Linked DNA regions of Alligator mississippiensis. The protein of the gene in region 1 interacts with the protein of each later gene in a biochemical or structural test. Links are inferred from orthologs where the notes say so. Each region holds a gene or a part of one and is shown on either strand. Other genes may lie near its edges.

The links.
Region 2: the proteins of NRIP1 (region 1) and AHR form a complex in vitro, tested with the Homo sapiens proteins (2 studies listed by BioGRID). The link is inferred for Alligator mississippiensis from reciprocal best matches to the Homo sapiens genes NRIP1 and AHR.

Annotation. Positions count from the first base shown.
Region 1 is NC_081824.1:278,940,109-278,947,676, forward strand, and holds the start of NRIP1 (nuclear receptor-interacting protein 1), read right to left. Parts: upstream 3,021-7,568; 5' UTR 2,643-3,020; intron 1-2,642. UniProt on the Homo sapiens protein: Modulates transcriptional activation by steroid receptors such as NR3C1, NR3C2 and ESR1. Also modulates transcriptional repression by nuclear hormone receptors.
Region 2 is NC_081828.1:163,341,840-163,349,535, forward strand, and holds the start of AHR (aryl hydrocarbon receptor), read right to left. Parts: upstream 3,021-7,696; 5' UTR 2,814-3,020; coding exon 2,758-2,813; intron 1-2,757. UniProt on the Homo sapiens protein: Ligand-activated transcription factor that enables cells to adapt to changing conditions by sensing compounds from the environment, diet, microbiome and cellular metabolism, and which plays important roles in development, immunity and cancer.

The DNA.
Region 1 (7,568 bases):
GGGGGGGTTAAATTAGCTATATTACCTACTTACAAATAAGGAAGAAGAATTCCCCCTGGAAGGGCAGTGTGATAAGCCATAACCAAGCAGGCCTGTGTCTTTTTTAACAAAGCTCAGATGAAGCAAAAACTACAAGCAAGTAAGATCAGCACTGCAGTTCACTCAGGTTTGAACTCTGTGACAACCTTTAGTGAACCATTGCTTTTTTATCATTTTTTTCCTCTTGGTGTCTTGTACAGAATGACAGATTCAAGAGAAAAAACAGCTGACAAATACCGCAGGTGGTATATTTAACATTCAAATCAGCCACTGAAGTTTACCATATGAAAACATTTCTGCTTCTTCAAACAGTATGGTTTTTATTATCATAATAACCCCAAACCTCTTATTCTTCAACTTCTGCCTTTATTTTTTTTTTTTTTTTTTTTAAGGAGCACCTGGCAACTAGAAAAAGAAACTTCATTTTCATCTGAAAATCTATTTACCTACTACAGGTACAAGTCATCCTTAGCATTAGGAGTACAATTATCCAGTTTGGTTACACTGGACATTTGACAGCCCTTGATATTCAACACATTCGTGATCTAAAGAGACCAAGTGAGGTGATCTCACCTCCAACAGATAACAATCCAGGAGAACTGGCCAGTCCAAAAGAAGGACAGGTGCCCATTCACCTTCTAATGCACAATCACTAATCCCTTGTACAACCTTTGCACATACATATGTAATACTAAATGCATCATCCACTGGTTCTACTGCTTCAAAGTCAGTATTTGTTCCCGCTCATAAGGGAATGGGGACAGGTTAAAAGAGTAAGATTCCTCCACCAGAAGTTTAAGAGCAAAGAAATTGCGCCAGCAGCAGAAAACCCATATCTGTACTAAATTTTAGGTGCGCTATATGAGAGCTCACCATGACAGGTCAATTCCTGTTCCCCTTGCAGAAACCCTTCCTCAGATGCCATAAAACCATATGATGATTCTCACATGCCACAGAAGCAGGCCATTCTCACATCAGAAAACTTTTGTTTGTCCTCTGGGGGAAGGTGTGCGTGTGCACATGGCACTCCAGTGCCAAGTCCCATAAACAGCAATTCAGAATTGAACAATGAAGACACAGGCTTGGTACCACCCACTAGGAAGCGAGCGCAGATGGCCTCATTTCAGAAGGGAGGCTATTTTTTCCTCACAAGAAATTTAGTAGATTAGATTGCTCTTTTTATAAACAAACTCCATCCCTTATCTGAAAACGTCCCCTGTCATGACTCGGTTCAATTCCAAGTGGCCTGGGAGGTCCCAACCCAACGCCCAGCAGACATATGCTCTCAAAACATTACTACAATCTACCAATTCAGGCACAACTCCTGAAGGGGTGGGGGCAGAAAAAAGATACTGTTCAATCAACTCACTCTTCCACCCACCAACAGCATGGGCCAACCGTACCCCCCCCCCCCCCTTGCACCGAGTCACTCCTAAAGCCACCAACTCCATAGCTCTGAGAGACTGTCAACATGTGTCCAGCCCTCCCAGCCTTTCATGGTTACTTTAAACTAAAAAGAAAGACTCAAAAGTAACCCCCGCCAACAAAAAAAGCAAAGTGTCTGTCCTCACAAAAGCCTTTTTTTTAAAAAAATCCTACCAACTTGCCCTCAACCCCAAAAGTACATGGCTGTAGCTTGTGCTGTTCAAACTCCTACCAGGAGCAAAGAAAAATAAGCCCTCAAAGGTTGGGGGGGGGGGGGGAGGGGGAGATGAGTCACCCTTGAAGGGTTTTGGGGACAGCAGCAATGGTCTCAAGTTCCAGCAAGGGAAGTTTAGGTTAGATAGGAGGAAAAACTCTCTCACTAGGAGGGCAGTAAAGCATGGGAACAGGTTACCCAGAAAGACTGTGGCATCTCCATCCTCAGAGGCTTTTAAGTCCCAGCTAGACAAAGCCTTGGCTGGGCTGATCAGCTTGGGGATGGTCCTGCTTGGAGCAGGGGGTTGCACTAGATGCCCCCCTCACCCCACCCTGCTCCGCTGTGATTCTCTGGTACCAAAATGCCTCTCAAACAACTCACCAAGACACCCTCATGGACCCAGAGGGACTGATTTTCCATCTCCAGCTCCCTCTGTGCCAAAATGAAGTTTATTTCCTACCTACAGGGACTCTGAACCATCTTTAATTTACCCTGAGCCTGCAGAAGGGCACCCAAGCCCAAAAGCTTACAAAAAGATATACATATTTTGGCAATCTCCTAGTTAGCCTAATAAGAGGTATGGTCTCCGAACTGGGAGTTGTAGATTTCTGCATGTCTTGAAGTCCCAACCTTCTGCTTCAGAGGGAAGGAAGCCGCCCCCCTCCCCGGGGGGGCTGCACATTGGGGAACTTAAAGTGATGAGAAGGCACGTTTGGGAAGAGAAAGGAGAAGGGGAAGGGGGGAGGAGGGAACGCGTCTCCCAGCCCCACAGCAGGGGAGAGGGGATGAAGCGGGGAGCCCAGCTCAGCAGCGGGGGGAGCCGGAGGGGCTGCAGGCAGGCGGGCGGGCGGGCGGGATCTCTGTGCCTCCGGGAAGGACCCTGCCCCAGCCGGGAGGGCAAACTTGGCAGCCCTCTCGCCCCGCCCGCCCTCCCTCCCCGCGTGGCCCCGGCGTAGGCACTCACCGCCCGGGCTCGGCTGCTGCAGCGGCGGCTCCTGCGGCCGCGGGAGGCCCCGGCCCGGCCCCGCGCAGACAGACAGACGGACTGACTGACGATCGCCCGCTCCGCCCCGCCCCGCCCCGCGCCGCCCGCGCACCTCCCCCGCGATTAGTTCTAGTGCAGCGAGCGGCGCCCCAAGCCTCCGCAGGCCGGGCCGGAGCAGGAACAGGAGCTGCGGGCGAGGGGAGGGAGGAAGGGCTAGGTCCGCGCTCCAAGGGGCGCAGCCTGCCCCCGGCCTCGCGAGCCTGGGCGCGTCCCCCGCGCCGCCGCCTCCGCGCCCCGGCTGCCGAGCTGTGCTGCAATGCCCACGAGCAGCCCGCCTGCCTGCTCCTGCTGCTGCTGCCTCCGCCGCTGCACCCGCAGCCCTGGCCCCGCCTCCGGCCCCGCCCCTCGCCTCCTGCCCCGCCCCGCCCCGCCCCGCCCCCAGCGCCGCCCGGGACCACGGGGGCGGATAGGTGCCCCGGGCAGCGCCGGGGAGGCAGGCGGGGGCAGGCGCCTTTGGCTCTCTCGACTACGAGTGGGCGGCAGGGCCGGCCCCCCCCCGGCAGAGGGTGCCTTCAAAATCGTGACATGAGAGAGATGATTTCATAGGGCAGATAGATAGCTAGGAGGAAGGAAAGACGGACAGGCAACGGAAAGAAAAGAGAGAGAGAAAGAAACAGGAAAAGAGAGAGAGAAGGAAAGAAAGAGAAAAAGAGGAAGACAAAAAAAGAAAGAAGAAAAGAGACAGAAAGAAAAGTAGGTAGAAGGAAGAAAAAGAAACGAAGCAAAGTAAAGTAGATAAGTAATTAGACAGGGAGAGTTGTATATATCAGGTTCTTTATCTTTGTCCTTTGATTTTTTTATTTTTTGGTGGGGGGGAGGGGTTGCTTGTTTGTTGTTTTCATTTTAAGGCTCATATTGGTATGAAGCACAAAAGCCAGAAACTTATTTTTAAAGCGAGAAAGCCAAACGCCTCATAAACCCATACAATAGGAGCTGGTGGGGTGAAGAAAAGCAAAAATATTGCAGGGCTCGCTACATTTTCATAAGTCAGTGAAGGAGGCAGGGAAGCAGTCATCCTTTCCCCAATTCCTGCTGATTTCCACCATGGTACAAAACTTGTGTTAATATCCTTGGATTTGCAGCTTCCAGTTCTAACTTCACCAAGCTTAGTCTGAGCAAAGCCTTCAGTTTAATTCTTATGGATAATGCAAAGACTTAACATTTATTCCTGTCTACTCAAGTTCCCAAACTTACATGCTGCTTTATGCTTCCTCACCAATGTGCACACACTTCTTCACTGTGGCTTCCCCCATTTGCGCACAGAGAAGTGCCTTCCCAATTAGACCTAGTGTCTTACCAAAGCTATGTTATTTACACCTATATCAATTAATATTAAATAATGATTATGAGAGGGAAATATCATTGTAACAGAGGGAGGCCCCAAACAGGATCACAGCCCTACTTTACTAATAGCTATCTCCACCTATATGAAGAAAACCTAATAATTGTCCTGAGGAACTGCGATCTAATACCCGATTTCTCTTAAAACAAGAACTTTAATGCCGTTCTATCAAAAAAAAAAAAAAGTTGGAAGGCTGTAGATATGCTGCCGCATTTTTTTGCATATACACAAAATTGTGCGAGCTTGGTCACATCTCATTCATAGATGCAATGCCTGCATTAAAACATCCCACAAACATAACAAATGAGTTGATAAATACAGAGCTTTATGTATGCAGCAACTGAATTCTAAGCAACAGTTAGTAATGCTTACTTTATCCTTTCTTAAATATTAACTGAGAAATGTGTGTATATATATTCGCAACTGCATACAAACAAGTGGCCATCAAGAAAGCATTAAAAAATTCTAGAAATAAAGCATACTAAAACATTTAAAAGTTCAAAACAGCTGTGAGTATGTTATAGTACAGTCTTAAATGAAAAGACACAGGCAATAATGTAATTACACAAATAATACATGAATTTCAGTTAAAAACTGCTGAAAGCCAAGCTTTGCAATCAACAGACCTTATGAATGAAAGTTGATGTTCCAATATCAAGCAAAATCTCTTCTACTCTGGAATAGAGAGACTGCACTGGCTACCAGCAGAGAGCTAGCAAGCAATGACTTGACCTATTTTCTAAGCCAATGAAAGATTTAGGTGAACTTCATCATCATCATGTGTTTTTTTTTAACCACATTTTTTTCAGATGTACATCAGCATTTGCACATCCAAATGCGTGTATAAACCAGTCTCTTATTTTATAGCAAAAACTGATTTTATGGCCTCACCATGTTTCCATTCAAATGCATAAGAGTTTTGCTGCTGAATTCAATGGGAGTAGGGGTATGTAACTGGCAATATGTGATTTGAAAGAAATTCTCTTTAATTTTTAATTTCACTGAACTTCTTTATCTGAAAAATGCTTCAATGCGAAGCAGCTGAATTATCCAGGGAAAGGGAATTTTCTCATTACTGCAGCAATTTAGCAGCTATTTCAATCAAGTATGTCTGTAGTATACACCTCTTTCATTCTTAACCTGAGGGAATATCTTGCCCAGACAAGAGACCTACAAAATAAGGAATCTTGGACAAGTCATGGAATGATTGTGCATATGAACAATTATTTCATATGTTTAAAAGCAAGACATGAATAGCTTGGAAACATAGCTTGGAAAATGTATTTTTGGTACAATCAGCAGAAATAGTTACAAATAATGACACTTATGGACTGATCCATTTATTTTCCATATTCAATATATATTTATATAGGGCTGTGTTCTGTTTGCTTACGTAGACTTTCCATCAGACAGTTGAAATGGCACTATTTACCAAGTTAGATACAAATTCACACAAGTAGGGTGGAAGAATTAGTATTTACTGTAAGAATCTAGCCCACACTTCAACTTTTTTTTTTTAAATCAGTCCACCTGATTGTATCATACTGTTGGCAGTTATTTTTTGGTTTTTCATGTAGAAGGTTTTCAACCAAAGTTAAATGTGTGATCAATGCCCCGGCACAGATAAAGGACATTTCTATCCATCACATATGGATAATGTAAAATCATTGTTTTCTTACCAGCAACCAGGGTAGTTTTTCAATATTTGCTTCAGGGACTTTTCATTGTGTTAATTCACTTCTGAGTTCAAAACTGCTTTTGACAGCTTCAAATCAGACTACTTTTGGATTGCTCTTTAAAAAAATATAAATTCATAGAAGTTACTTTTGAATTGATTCCCAGAATTGTAAGCACTTACTGGAAAGTTATTGTACTGAGCTTAATATTTCTGAAGTATAAACTCATATTTGATCAAATTGGAGTCATTTTAACATACACATTACAAAAGTAAAAAACAAAACATGCCTTCTTATTACTAATGCAGACAAAAATCAAAATGCATCATCTTTTTAAGTGTCTGAAGCACATATTTGATCTTTCTATTTGACTATATTTGAAATGAGTTGAAGATACTGTTGATTTTTGCATAACTATCTGTTTAATCACCTTGATGATTAATGAAATTTCATACATGGTAAACAAATCTACAATACAGTTCAAGATACAAAAAGAAAGTCCATATCTGAAATCAAATGCAAAAAGGGATAGTATTTTTTTTCTACATGAGCTATGCAAAGGGCCCCCCTGACTACTTTGAGGGTCTCACTTTTATTTTTTTTTGTAGGGTCTCTATTATGAAACTATGAACAGCTTTCAAACTACCTTTTCAATCAGAATAAGTAGGGCCATATGGAAACCTGTCAGAATACAGTATACTTGGGACATGTTTGGAAAGATCAGTGATTTCACAGAAATATGTATATATACACTAAATCTTATTCCAATTTTTTTTTTGTCAGGATTACATGAACAAATCCAAAATTACATCCTTGACTCAGCACAATTGTACCCACTGTGTGGAAGGTCCCTTTACAGAGAAGCAAATAACCTAGTATTGTAGCCCTTACTCGAACAAAAATCACAGTGACATTTCTTATTTATTGAGGCATTGATTTAACTGAAGTTTTGCCTACATAGATGATAGTCACGCGTGGCTCCTCTACAACTCTAATAAAGAAAGTTTGAAGTGTCTGGCTTCTAATTAGTAAGAAGAAATATTTAGACTTAACTGAAATAAATAGGGACCATTCTGCTATAACTGGAAGAATAAGTCTGATACAAAATGAAAATGTCACTGTCTACATGTTAGAAAACATGAGAAAATTATTTGTGTATTTATAGGGTTTTCATGTCTAAGTTATATTTTCACTTCTTTTTACAAGCATGAACAAGGTGATTCCACAAGTACCCTCAGCACCACAAGTTCTTTCCTATGTATTCTGTCTCTCATTTCACATTCTTGTATGTTTTTTAAATTGCAATTCTTTTCAGCTTGATGACCTGCTCTAAAAATATTTTTCACTATAAATTTTTTAGAGCAATCTCCTTTATTAAAAAGTAGACTTCAGATACGACTATTTGATCTAAGAGTAATAAGCAGCTGTTTCAGTTACAAAAACTTGTGAAGCCAGTTGTACCTTATACACTCTAATGGAGACATTATATGTTTGCAGCATCTGGCTGGTTTTAACCATACCTCCAGTATACTGTACCTGTTCTCAGGCATACATTAGGGCTTACTGTATTTGCGTCTGTGTGTGTGCATGCACATGCATGTACATGAGTATATATCGATCATGAATAAGAACTGTCATTATGGCCTTATGTTTTATGGCAGGAACTAAGAAATAACAGCACACTGAACTTCTGCAATATCCTTCATGCAAGAAGCAAACAGCTTTATAAACATATATCTGATGCTTCTTCATTAACTAACATTAAAATACAGTAACATATTTTTCAGTACCTTTAGCTATAAGGACATAACCACTATCTGAAAACTA
Region 2 (7,696 bases), on another chromosome or scaffold:
ACCGCTTTCTCAAGAGGTCTGAATTCGGAATTAAGTTGATGCTAGGCTAATTGCATCCCACTGGTGGGACACCTTGGTTTTAGGAAGGCATAGACAGCACACAAATCTTTTTACAAACATGTAAAAGCTTTACTACCCAACAATAGACTGTAACCAAAAACCAACTCTCTTAAATCAGCTCTGACAACTGTTTGCTTCTCTGACTGACTCAACTTTTTTGCCCGAAGATATGTACTATGATTAGTTTTTAATTGAAGAAATCAAACCCTTTGGGGCCTGTAGAGCAGCTTTAGGAAACATCTAAGAGGACAAATGCAAAAAAAAAAAATAAAAAAATAATCAAGGACCATTCAGCGTAAGTAAGAGGAGGATAATAAATGATACACTGAACAAAAAATAATTATGTTGCACAAGTTGTCTGTCAATCAAACAGGGCACTACGTAATATAATAACATTTTTTTCCTCCTCCATAAGGTAGGTAAAACACCAACTATATAGGATACATTCAAACCAAAAACATTTACTTTAAGAAGAAATGTTTATTTTCCCTTTAGCCCTAAAATGTTGTTGATTGGTTTCCATTCATGAAAAAAGGAAATATTCTTCAGGTTCAACAAATAAGAGAAGTTCAGCCAATTGAAATAAGAAATATAAAATAGTAACAGTGAGTTGTTATACAACAATCAATAGCTCAAAATAAAAATAGTTTGCACATCTGGTAATCAAAGTGAATTTATTAGTAAGCAAATCATGAAGTTCTCTGACCAGAAAAAGCAAATATTGCCACAATTTTGAATAAGTTTTAGCCAAAGAAATTATAGACTTGGAAAGTTGTTATTAGCTGGACAGGTGGTAGAGTGTATACACTTGCATGCAGAGCAACAGAGTTACTATTTTCTTTATAAAATGTAAATTTATACTGCTGAATTGCTTTAACACCTCAACCTCTCTATTTTAGCTCAACAGTAGATAGGCCTATTTACAGTATCACAGAATCGTAAAACATTAGGGTTGCAAGGGACCTCAGGAGGTCACTTAGTCCAGTGGTTCTCAACCTTTTTTGTAAGGGACCCATTTGTAAACATTGATGGCAAGTCCGAATCCAGTGCCCCTCACTCCCGACCCACTGCGCGCCCGCAGGCCCTCAGTTTGGGACAAGGGGGTCCCAAGCAACCCCATGCAGGATGGAACTCTGCCAGCCTGCAGGGGAAAAGCCACGGTTTCCTAGTTTTCTCCTTTAAAGGAGAATTCATTTTTAAAGTTTGTTGATCCATTGTAAAGTTTATTTGCAACCATTTCGTATATTCTTGCAACCCATTTTTGGGTCACAACTCACATGTGGAGAAAAGTTTATCTAGTCCGACTCCAGCTCAAAGCATGACCACCCCCAATTTATTTCTATAATTGCCACACTTTCTGCCTGGCTGCTGCTGTTTGCCCAAGTCAAGAATTTTTCAGAGCTTTTAATTCTTTATTTAAAGTCTATAACACAGCACCTTCATTTAAAGAGAAATCTCCTTTTGAAAAGCAAACAACAACCCCCTCCCCCCCCAAACCGTAATAGCAACAGCCATCCTAGCCCAAAGCAGCAATCCAAAATAAGAGCTGTAAGCTGTGCTGAATAAAAGAATACTGCTTACTCAGCTAGTCTCCCAAATACTCCTTTTCCTCCTTTGCTTACGTTTTGGAAGGGATTTCAGTGTAGCAGATGTACTCCAGCAATGCTATCTGCACAAATGCACGCGATTAACAAGAATAAGAACCTTGCTTTGGCTTTGAATCATGGGGGGGGGGGGGGGGGGTCCTCTTTTTCTTCCTTACAGTCTTGTATTCTACTTCTTTACGAAAGCCAGTCATCTAGATGCCTGACACCTAAATGTCAAAACCTATCTTCTTCCTCTAGACCGGCATTTCTCAACCTGTGGGTTGTGACCCAAAAGTGGGCTGCAAAAGTATATGAAAGGGCTGCAAACAAACGTCAAAAATGCGTTCTCCTTTATAGGAGAAAAACATGGGAAACTGTGGGGCTGCTCTTGCAGGCTGGCAGACTTCCAGCTTGTGAGCGGCTGCTTGGGCCCACCCTGCCCCAGTGGCTGGGGCACGGGTGCAGCGGGTCGGGACTGCCAATCGGCGTTTACAAACGGGTCCTGGTGCAAAAGAAGGTGGGGAACCCTTAGCATAGACGGTCACAGAAATGCGAGTAACCCTGATGCCAGGCCAGTCAAGCCTAAGGCCCATTCCCAGCGGAGCAAGGATCGCCACGCGGCGGGGGCTCTGGCACAGTCGGGATCAGGCCCAGGAGCTGCCAAGCGACACGTGTCTCGTGGTCAGACGTGGCAGCGCCTGGCGAAGCGCAGCTGCCCCGCCGCACGCACCGGGGTGGGGGGGCACATGGAAGCGGGTCACTCTGGAAACCCGCCGGGGTGCAGGGGAGCCCATCCGCCCTCGGGCCCGAGCCCCGGGCACTGCCGCCTCCCCGGCGTGGCCCGGGCTCGCGCCGAGTGCGGCGGGGCGGGGCGGGGCGGAGCGGAGCGATCCCGGCCCGAGGCGGCCGCCCGCCCGTCACCTTAGATGCCTCCTGAGACTAGGTCACCGCCGGCCGCCGCCTCGCCCGGGTCAGCAGCGCGGGCTCGCTCGCCCGCCCGCCCGCCGGGGGCCGCCGCTGGGCGGCCGGAGCGACGAGCGCCCCCCGCCCGGGGGCTGCTCGGACTCACCTGCTCCGAGACGAGACCCGCCCCCACCCCGCCCGGGCTTACATCTTCTGCACGGGCTTCCGCCGCTTCCGACTGGCGTAGGTGACATTGGGGTTCATGTTGCTGCTGCTGCCGCCGCCCGGCCCGGCCGCCGCCTCGCACAGCGCCCGACCCGCTCTGAGCCGCGGCGGCCCCAGGAGGGCGCGCAGGTGACCCGCGGCTGCTCCCCCGGGCGCAGGTGCGGGGGCGGCCGGGGCTTCCCGGCGCCTCCTGCCCGCGCGGAGGGAGGGAGCGATCTCCCCGCCGCCGCCTGGCACTGCCCCGCCGCACTCCCCTCCGCCGGCAGCCCCCGCTGCAACCGCCGCCTCGTCTCGTCTCGCCCCGCCCCGCCCCGCCGGCGGCTGCCCCGCCCCCGCTGAGGAGGCCCCCGCGGGGCGGCGGCGGCGCCATGTTGGGGAGGACGCTGCGGGCCGCGGGCAAGGTGTGAGAGCCGGGGGTAGGACGAGCCGGCCCCCGCCCTGGGGCCGCCCCGGCCGGGGGCACGTGCTGGCGCTCACACCCAACCCTCGCTTCTCCTCGCCCCGGGGCTCCCCCGCCCTGCCTCCGCTCCCGGGCCGCTCAGGTGCCTCTCGTTTCGGCCCCGACCGGCCTCCCCGCGGCCCAGAGGGCTGCTGTGGGTGAAGGCGAAGGAAGCCGGAGGCAGTGTCCTTGGTCCTGGCACACGGCTCGGAGCAGACCACAGGAGCAGGCGAAGGAAAGGTGTTTCACCAGCCAGCAGCACGGCTTTGCATATTCACTCTAGGTCTCTTCAAAACAATACCGGGATGAGTAGTTAGGTGGAGTACGGCATTACCATAGAAGCAGTCGCTGAGAAATAACAGTACAGAGATTAGGCAAATCAGACAGCCCGGATGGAGCAGAGTGAAGGGGATGGCACAACTGAGAGAAACTAGCACAGTTGTTCTCCAGCAACGTGATGGCTTCCTCAGAGCTGGTGCTCTGAACACCCCAGTACAACCTTTGATGAGTATGCTGGGTCCTGGACTGAAAACGTAAAAGAAGGTACCAAGGAACTTGTAATCAAAGCAGGCCACACCTTGTCTAATTATAAGCCTTATTTGGCTGGCTCAACTGTTTCTCTCTCAAGCTTTCCCCGTGCTGTGTACCGCAAAGCTACTACACACTAACAGTGAAAATGGCAGTAAACTCCAAAGTAGATGGAGTACATTTGTTATGTTTCAAAAATAAATGAAGTAGTAAATAAAGCTTTCCAGAATGTATTGAAAAGCATCTAGTACTATGCCACTCTTAATTTTGACATTTTCCTGGACAAGAAAACCTATAGGTTCTCTGAATTTGAACCAAGTCTGTGATTGATGCTGCCTATAGTCTTCCACTCTTGACTCATAACCTCTCCTTTTCATCCTGTTGCCTCCACATGAGATCTTGTCAAGGTTTTTTAAGAAGATGACTATGGAGATGTACTGTGATCTCTTTACTTCTCTTCTTCAACCTCTAGCGTCCTTTGCTCTTTCACCCATGACTAAAACTACTGCTGTCCTCTGAACGCTCCATCTACCACATAAACTTAATTACCTTCAACCTCAACTTGTTTCATGCTCTTCACCACTCCCACCAGCCCTACATCACACTATGCTCTGGTTTCCTTTCTAAAAACAAGCATCCCAAGAGGGGAACTAGGGCTAAGACAAGTTTTCAGTCATCCACTTCTACACTGGCTTAGGAAATCCAGTGCAAAGAGTGTTCTCCAAGAGGCTGCCAAAAAGGGTACAAGAGCCTTATTGAAACATAGAGCTAGAATCAGGAGACCTAAACTCAGTGAAAGGAATGAGCAGAAATGACCTCCTGCTTCATCTCTTTCAAAGACTAAAAGTACAACAGGTGTATGACAGCGTAGATTTCTGTTGGTGAAGGAACAAACAAATATGTACCTTATTCTTGCTCTATGGCCATATCCATTATAATAGTACTATTTGTAGTTATCAGATATAACATAATTTTTTGAGTCCTTTCTTTGAGCGATACACCCAAATTGCACCTGACTTCCAGACCCCTCACATGTCAGTCGTACTCTGTTGTTGAGATGGACAGGGTTCAAGTACTAATAATATATGGACAGTAAACACCTTTAACTCTTTCACAGTGCATGTCTGTTCTCTTTCATAAAGGTGGCCCAGTGCTTCTTCAAAATTAGTTCATGTTGAGGACTTTCTGGGCATTTATAGACATGGTCCAGGAGTGTGCATGGGGTGGGGTGGAAGGTTTTAATTAGAGCAGCTCTGAGTTGGTCTGATTAAAATGCCTGGAGCATCATGTGTATCAGCGTCCCTGCACTTAAAAAGTGGCAGCAGGGGCTCTTTAACTAAAGCTCATTGAGCAAACTTTAGTTAAGGTGCCCCTGCTGCTATTTTTCAGTGTGGGGACACTGATGCATGTGACACTGGGGTCTGCTGGAGTGCAGTAATTACAGGATTAATTACTGTGTGTTGAACCAGCCCCACTGCACATCTAAGTGCCCTCTATTTCAAACAACCAAAACATGGGTCAATTGGCAGTGACAGTCTTCAATATGAGGATGACAGCCTTCCAGTAAATAGCAAAGTCATCAATGAGTCTGTGACTGAGGAGGCCAATCCAAGATCTGCATGTTTGACTGCAGACATGGCAAATAGTTCCAGGCAAAGCAGTAGATACTAGAGATGTCAGGTCACAGCTTCTTTTCTCTCTCTTGTCTATCTGCCGCCATAGTGATGTTAATTTGCTCAAAATGATTAATGCCTTGTTGCACATCATGGTGCTATTGGAGATGATTCAGTGCTTGAATCTCCCACATATAGATGTTAATATACTTCCTTAGATTGGCTTTCAAGGTGTCATTGAAGCTTTTCTTTTGCCCACCTCTGGACTGGTGACCATTGGTGCGTTGGGAGTATAGGAACTGTTTTGGGAGCTGGTTGTCAGGCATCCTGATAACATGTCCTGTCCAAAGGACCTATAAACATGGCTTCAATGCTGGTGGTATTTCTTGAGCCAGAATGCTGGTGTTTGTTCTTCTGTCCTTCCAGTTAATAGTGGGTATTTTCCCAAGGCAGAGATTCCCAACCATTGGGCTGCGAAGGGTTGGTTGCTGGGTTGTAGCACAAGCCCCTTGCTCAGACCCCAATCTTTCTGCCCGAGTGAGCAGCTTCCAAGGTGAACAGAGTTAAAGCTGGGGGCTGGGGCAGCCCCGGGAAGGAGGCAGCCGGCTCCATGTGCCCTGTCCTGCTCCTGTGCCAGTCTACAGGAAAAAAAGGTTGGGAACCACTGTCCTAAGGCATTGCTGATGCCAATATTCCAAAGCTTTCAGGTGGTTCTGATATGTCATCCAAGGTTCACACCCATACAACATGGTAAGGATGACAACACCTTGGTAGATGAGAAGTTTAGTTTGGGTCCTGAATACATGGTTCTGGAGACATCCAAAAGGTAGCACTGGCAGATTTTATCTGGTGCTGAATACTGTCATCTATATTTACTTTTTTGGAAAAGGTGGTGTAGTTTACCATGGCATTTACTTGAGCATTTTGACTTTTCGGGGCAATTGAGTGCTGCTGTCCCCTTGTGGGTCAGCAGCTTGCTTTCCAATGGGAGTCCTTAAGGTCCCCATGGGTTCTCGCCTGCCACAACTTGATTGTAAAGATTATTGCTGGGAGGAAGTTCTGAAGTCCTGCCTCTCCTGGTTCCCTCTTAGGTCTCTCGCACAGGTCTTTGTCTTGGGCCTCCACCTCCCCTACACCCTTCCTTACGCCAACCACAGATGATGTTAGGTCTTGGCCGAGGCTAACTCACTGTCAGCCATGGCTAGGCATTAGCCCCTGTTTAATTTCAGTCCCAGTTCAGATGGCTTACTGTCCTTGTCAAGGTGTCACGTCAGCCTGACTTGTCGCTGCATATACCCCGGGGTGCCTTCCCTGAGGGCTCACTCCCTCCCCAGGCATTCCTTACAGCTTTTAATATCCTTCTTTTCCTCTCTCCGGAGGCTTGCTGCTGTCCCAGTCTCTATCAGCATTGTCTGGGAACTATGGCTTCATGAGAGGTATGTATCCTGGCTCCTCTGAGCCAGCCTTAGCTGGGCACCCCAACTCTTGGGTTTGCCATCACTGGCCCCTACCGGGGCATCCATTCACTTCTTGCTGCTCCTGGCTCTCAGGAGGCCTCACTTCTGGTCCTCCCTGGACATTGGCTGGTATGGATTTTATCCCTCTCTCGGAAGGCCAGTGAATCATTGGCAGCAAGAGTCCATAAAGCATGCCCACGCTGGAATGTGTGTTTAGGTGCTTTTGGTCCTCAGTGGCATTCTGCTGCTGCTGCTTTTCCTGTTGCCCCTGTGCCACCTATGCTTTTCCTCTTGTGGAAATGTTCACACCGCAGCACCTTTGGTCTTCAGCGGCATTTGGCGGCCATTGCTTTTCCCTCTGCTCTGGCGCTGGAGGTGAGTCTCATCTCGTGGCAGCATCCCTGCTGCAGGTAGGTACGCCACATAGGGGAAATGCTCAAGATTCTCCCAAAACTACCCCCTAATTGTAATATGTGGAGGAGCACCTGGGTTGGCTTGGGGTGGGTTAGTAAAGGACCTTGATTTTTGTGAAGTTGACAGTGTGTGACTAGCATTTCATGTGCTTCACAGAAATAATCAAGGGTGACCCAGAGCTCTTCAGTTGAAGCAGTCAGCAGCATATTGAACAGAGTCTAGAAACAGACTGTCAGGAAGCCAGGAGATCAGACAGATAACAAGAGAGGTGTTGGTTATCTTGGATTTGGAATGTAACTAGTTGATGTTAAGGAGATTCCCTTGGATTCTCAGACCATTTGGAAGTCTATCAACAACAATATGTAGAAAAGCAGCGATAGAGATGGAAGAGCGTTGGTGTAATCATCACACATCCTTACTTGACTCCAGTTCTAATGATGAAGGGGTCTATTTCTAAGCTGTTGCTTAGTA